Macaca fascicularis: one gene and its partner. The protein of the gene in region 1 purifies or fractionates together with the protein of each later gene. This does not show direct contact. Links are inferred from orthologs where the notes say so. Each region holds a gene or a part of one and is shown on either strand. Other genes may lie near its edges.

What was found.
Region 2: the proteins of ABCC1 (region 1) and VDAC3 fractionate together in Homo sapiens (co-fractionation; 3 studies listed by BioGRID). This does not show direct contact. The link is inferred for Macaca fascicularis from reciprocal best matches to the Homo sapiens genes ABCC1 and VDAC3.

The regions. Positions count from the first base shown.
Region 1 is NC_088394.1:16,247,125-16,251,041, reverse strand, and holds the start of ABCC1 (multidrug resistance-associated protein 1), read right to left. Parts: upstream 2,492-3,917; 5' UTR 2,329-2,491; coding exon 2,281-2,328; intron 1-2,280.
Region 2 is NC_088382.1:45,929,570-45,932,165, forward strand, and holds the end of VDAC3 (non-selective voltage-gated ion channel VDAC3), read left to right. Parts: intron 1-955; coding exon 956-1,013; coding exon of another isoform or gene 1,014-1,017; intron 1,018-1,459; coding exon 1,460-1,551; 3' UTR 1,552-1,986; downstream 1,987-2,596. UniProt on the Homo sapiens protein: Non-selective voltage-gated ion channel that mediates the transport of anions and cations through the mitochondrion outer membrane and plasma membrane.

The DNA of each region.
Region 1 (3,917 bases):
AAGAAAGTGAGGCACACAGAGGGAAAGTGGCTTGCTCAAGGTCACACAGTTATCTGACTGCCTGGGGGGCCAGTCGCTCCTGGCCTTGAACACGCTGCCTTGAAAAACACAAAAACAGCCGGGCACAGTGGCTCATGCCTATAATCTCAACACTTTTGGAGGCTGAGGCAGGAGGATCGCTTGAGCCCAGGAGTATGAGACCAGCCTGGGCAATATAGTTCGACCCTGTCTCTACAAAAATTACAAAATTAGCTGGGTGTGGTGGCACATGCCTATAGTCCCAGGTACTTGGGAGGCTGAGTTAGGAGGATCACTTGAGCGGGGGAGGCAGAGATTGCAGTGAGCTGAGATCACACCACTGCACTCCAGCCTGGGTGACAGAGTGAGATGATGTCTGGAAAAAGAAAAACGCAACACCTACCTACTTTCTACCTTTCTGTTAATTATATTTTAATTTTCCCACTCAGGCCCCAGCTGCCTCCTCTCAAATTCTGGTTCCAGGGCACCTCCAGCAAGTCTTGGAATCCAGACAGCAGAAATATGCAAGGTCAAACACCAGATGGGGTACCTACCTACCAGCGGCAGAAATCAGCTACAATTACACCCAAGCGAAACCCAGCCACCTGACAATTTCTGTGGCAAAAAAGTCCTTAACGAAGGAAAACAATAAATTAATTAAAATTTTTAAAAACATTACAACTGGACTTCGTGAATCAGTTTAAGATAAACAAAGCACACCCCAAACACACTCATTAGCCATCAACTACCAGTTGCCATCAATAAAGTATGTCCTGATACAAAATGTCATGGATGTTCACCCTGTTTTGCCCCCTCCTCAATGCAGAAGAAAATAAACAAGAGAATATTCCGGAATTCACAGCAACCCGAACCCAGATCACCATGTGAATCTTTGCAAAAAATAATCTTGCTGTTATTACACCTGGTAACAAGGGATCCACAGGTTTTCCTCTCCCTGATAAAAAAAAAAGTTCATTTGCAAAGAGGCTCCAATCACTCCCAGACCCTGAAGGCAAAGTCCGTGTTCTATTTCCACCCCTGGGGTCACTCTCCAACCCCAACTGGCTTAAAATGAGAGACATATCAAAATGTGGTAGGTTATTAAACATAATGATACCCTACTAAAAAAACAAATAAACAAAACCAAACCCTCCAATGGGGCCCTGGAGGATGATTTTTCAACATTCCAAATGCAGCCTTCAAGGAAAGACCCCCAAAACAGGACAAGAAAGTATTTTCGGATGCTAATCACCAGCTCCTAAGAACCAAGGCTGTTTCTCCTAATTCCTAAACAAAAGAGGAGAGAAACAGTCGTGTCCAGATTTGCCTACTGCGTTCACCAATAACCAAGACAGCACGAAACAGAAGTGCCTTCCTGGAACAAAAAGGCAAATCGCATTACGGAGAAGCTGAAGCCCAAAAGACTGAGGCTTAAACCACAGAAAGTGGACTCCAACCCTGTCAGGCTCCGCAGGCCACGTTACCGAAGAAAATTTGCCAGGATTAAATCCCCAGAGAGGAGCTCCACGTGTTGCAGGGAAGGGAGGGCAGCACCACAGCTACCAGGGTCCTGGGCGTCCTCAGCTGCACCCCAAATGTGACTCGAGCCGAGGGTCAGGTGGGGCACGTCAAGGGTGAACACCCCCCTTCTTCCCTGGTTCCCCCAAACTTCCCCCGCACTATTTAAGCAGAAAGAACAAAAGAACAAAAAAGACAAAGCTAGGTAACCACAGAAGAGTAATGTGGCTTGTACGACAACTTCGGGGAGACAATGAAAGTCCCTTTCTACCATCTAAACCCTCCCCAGCTCACCCCATTGGTCACAGACTATTTTTCGTGAAAAGGGGGGACCCTAACCACAAAAAAGATGGGAAAACAGACGGAGAGAGACACCCCCTTCCCGCTCCCCATCTCTAGCGTCCCTTCCCTGGAAGGTTGTTTTTAATTAGAGGCGGGAACCCCAAAACAGGAAGGCCTCCTCCCGGAGGTTCTGGCCCGACCCTCCCCTCCAAAACCCCAGGACTGGGCACGCGGCCCCCCACGCTCTGCTCCGCAGGAACTGAGTCACCCAAGTTTTCCTCCATGCCTTGCACCCCCGAAAGGGGCTGGGCCGCTGGCGACGTGGGAGTCCCGGGCCCCAAAGGCCGGACGCAGAGCAGGGAGCGGGGTGCCCCAGGCGGCTGTGGGCCCGGTGCTTTCCGTCCCCGCCGGCCTCCCTCCCTCCCTCCGTCCCGCCGGCCCCATGCGGCCCCCCGCACGTACCCAGAGCGGGTCGGAGCCATCTGCGCTGCAGAAGCCCCGGAGCGCCATGCGGGCGGCGAGGGCGGCGGCGGGCACCGGACGGCGGGTGATGCGGCCCGGCTGCTGGCGCGGGCGGCGGCGTGCACCGGACGGTGGGTGATCCGGCCCGGCTGCTGGCTTTGGCTGCGGAGGCGGCGGCGGCGGCGCAAGGAGCCGGGTCCGGGGCCGCAACGCCGCCTGGTTGGCCCGCGCGTCACGGGGATGCAGCGGCCCCGCCCCACCCCGCCCCGCCCCGCCCCGCCCCGGCGCCCGGCTCACCTCGCGCGTCTCGGCGTGGGCAGCCGGACCCGCAACCTCTCGGCGCCCAGGGCCTGGACGCCGCGCCACCCCCACCCCGGATCCTCCGAGGCCCAGGCCCACTCGCTTGCGGACTGGCTCGGGGAGCGTTGGCTAGTCTTCCGGAAGCGCCTAGGATCTTTGGGGCCACACAGCCTGCGACCACTTTTCAAATCCTGTTTAACGACAGTATCCGTAACCAGGGGAAAATAACGTGAACGGAGCCCCCTACCTGCCTGGAGTGTGCTGGGCGCCTTAGCTGCGCCCTCATTTCATTCTGTACTATCTCCACGTTCATGCAGGAAGAAACCCAGGTGCAGAGAGGTTGAGTGATGATTCCCCCTGCCCAGGGTCACCTGGCTAATCATTTGCAGGGCTGGGATTTGAACCCGGTCCAAAGCTGACTCACACAGAAGGAGGTGGATACTCTTATTCACCTACCTTTTACAGATGGGGAAACTGAGGTTCAGAGAGGCGAAGTGACTTGCCTGAGGTCACACAGTTAGCAAGGAGTGAAAGTGGAAGTGAGATTCAAACCCATGAGCAGCCTGATTCCAGAGCACTGATGACCCAGAGGGCGTCAGTCTCTATCACCAACAGCTGTTGACCTCACCTGTGTGCAGAGCGCCTTTGCTTCTTCTCAACCTCTTTAAGCATCACTTAGAAATAACTAGGTTATTGATCCTCACCTCAGAGGTAAGGAAACTGAAGCCTGGAGACAAAATAATCATAGGCCAGGCATGGTGGCTCATGCTTGTAATCCCAGCACTTTGAGAAGCCGAGGCGGGCCGATCACATGAGATCAGGACTTCAAGACCAGCTTAGCCAACATAGCAAAACCCTGTCTCTACTAAAAATACAGAAATTAGCCGGGCATGGTGGCGGGCACCTGTAGTCCCAGCTACTTGAGAAACTGAAGCAGGAGACTCGCTTGAACCTGGGAAGTGGAGGTTGAAATGAGCTGAGATGGCGCCACTTCACTCCAGCCAGGGCAACAGAGCAACACTCTGTCTCAAAAAATAATAATAATAAGTAATAGGCATTCACAGTGACAAGGCTTCCTAAGGCTATGTTCTTAGCAATTTACACAAATTAACTGTGCAATCCTCACAACCCCATGAGGTAAGAGGTAGTATTATCCCCATTTTGCAGATGAGGAGACTAAGACCCAGAAAGACAGTAAATTGTCAGGGATTATTTAGATTGTAAGTCATTAAGCCAAACTTTGAACCCAAGAAGTCTAGCCAGGGAGGTCGGAAGTCTATAATACCATCTATTGTGCCATATTGCTTTTGAACTGTTGCATAGGCAGACAGGCAGAG
Region 2 (2,596 bases), on another chromosome or scaffold:
ACATAGGGGTTCTTCTGTGCCAAGCTCTTCCTGTATATTTGTTGTCTGACCTTCTCAAGTCATTTTATCACTTTGGCCTTAGAATTTTCTTACTTGGAAATTCATGAGATTAGATGACTATTTCTGTTGCTATAGTAACTCTTATTAAAAATAACACTGAGCTCTTAAATTTCATGTACTGTGCTAAAGGCTTTACGTATATTATGTCATTTAACCCTCACAACCACTCCATGTGGCAAGTAGTGTTATCCTCATCCCTGTTATACTGATGAGAAAACTGAGCCTTAGAAAGGTCAGCTAACTTGCCCAAGGTCACGTAGTAACTGGCAGTGCCACAGTTTGAACCTAGATCTGTTTTTCTGTCACCCGAGTTCATGCTGTAACCACTGTGAGAGATTGTCAGCTGGTATCTCAGGGAATTCAGGGTGTTTGGTTGTGTAGTGTTTAAAAATTTTGCTGGAGGCCTTGAAGCATGCATTCTTAAGGTACGTCCCACCCATACAAGTCCTGCTGACTTTAAAGATCAGTAATTCTGGCCCGGCACGATGGCTCACGCCTGTAATCCCAGCACTTTGGGAGGCTGAGGCGGGGGATCACCTGAGGTCAGGAGTTTGAGACCAACCTGGCCAATATGGTGAAACCCCATCTCTACTAAAAATACAAAATTAGCTGGGCATGGGGATGCATGCCCGTAATCCCAGCTACTTGGGAGGCTGAGGCAGGAGAATGGCTTGGACCCGGGAGGCGGAGGTTGCAGTGAGCTGAGATCGTGCCATTGCACTCCAGCCTGGGTAACGAGAACGAAACTTCATCTCAAAAAAAAAAAAAAAATCAGTAATTCCAGATTGGCCCTAGGGTGCTTTTAGCGTTGGAAACCTGATGCACAAAGTGATAGTTGTATTGGACTGATCTGTAATTCACTGTTTTATGTTATTATTCTATCTCTTAATCTTAGGCTAAAGTAAATAATGCCAGCCTGATTGGACTGGGTTATACTCAGACCCTTCGACCAGGTAAGTAAAGGAATTAGTAACAGAGGGTCTGGGGTGGAAAGCGATAGAGGAAAAAAATGAAAATAACCTGCAGAACAACCTATAGTCACTGTAAGTTGATTCGGACCATTTTGTAACATTTGGTTGTTCAGAAAGAAAACAAAACAGATCAAATACTTTTTCATTAAAAAAGTATGTATTTCTGACTATGATGTGGTCACTCTGGCCTTTTGAGTTTGGTTGATCACTCATTGCCCTTAACCCTGAACTTCAGAGAAAGTTTGCCATGATCATGCGTTCCTCATTACACATCAGATGGTTATAAATAACCGATTGAGTAATAGCTGTTTGCTTATAGCTCTTATACCCAGCTACAATCCACACCATTGATTCCATCTGTTGTTTCTAGAAAGTTCAGATCTAATTGTTACTTGTTACAAGTGATTGTGGTGTTTTCTTCTTCCTAGGAGTCAAATTGACTTTATCAGCTTTAATCGATGGGAAGAACTTCAGTGCAGGAGGTCACAAGGTTGGCTTGGGATTTGAACTGGAAGCTTAATGTGGTTTGAGGAAAGCATCAGATTTGTCCCTGGAAGTGAAGAGAAATGAACCCACTGTGTTTTGGCCTTAAAATTCTTCTGTGAAATTTCAAAAGTGTGAACTTTTTATTCTTCCAAAGAATTGTAATCCTCCCCACACTGAAGTCTAGGGGTTGCGAATCCCTCCTGAGGGAGGCGCTTGAAGGCATGCCTGGAAGTTGTCATGTTTGTGCCATGTTTCAGTTCAGTTCTGCAGTGTTATTAAATGTGTTCCTCAGCGACAGTGTAGTGTCATGTTAGAGGAGACGATCTGACCCTCCAGTTTGTACATCACGTCCTGCATGTCCCACACCATTTTTTCATGACCTTGTAATATATTGGTCTCTGTGCTATAGTGGAATCTTTGGTTTTGCATCAGAGTAAAATAAAATAAACCCATCACATTTGGAACATAACTGCTCATCTGACTTGCTGGTGGTGGTTTTCTTACCTTTGATGTGATTTGTTTTAAGAAGCACTTTCACAGGCAAGATTTGTGTCTAAAGTGTCGGGGCTGCCGCCAGTCCCTTTCACTTCACTGAGCCCTGCTCTGTCTGCTCTTGCTCTCACAGGGCAGGCTGAGGAAGGAAGCAGTGAACATGGTTGTGCTGGGGAGCGGCACATCTGTTGTGCTTGTGGTGTGATAGGGTCGCATCACCCCAGGAGTTGTGTGCAGCTGCTGAGAAAGTGTGGGTGTGAGTGGGTGAAAAGATGGTTGAGGGAAGAGTGCATTTGGGGAAGCATGGGGAGGAGAGATGGGAGGAGGCCAGAGCTGGGTGGACACTTCTGGGGCTCCTCCTGGGCTGCAGAAACATCATTTTTTATTACTAGTATAGAAAAATGATAACCAAGGAATGAAGTACCAATTTAGAGAAGAAATGAGCAGACTATAATATCCTCAGGGATCACTGGTAAATCATCTTCCTAAAAGTAGAAGTCCTTTGAAAATCTTTTTTTTTTTTTTTGAGTTTAAGAGCAGAGGTTTAATAGTTGAGAGAAAAGAGAAAAGCTCTTTTGCAGAGAGAG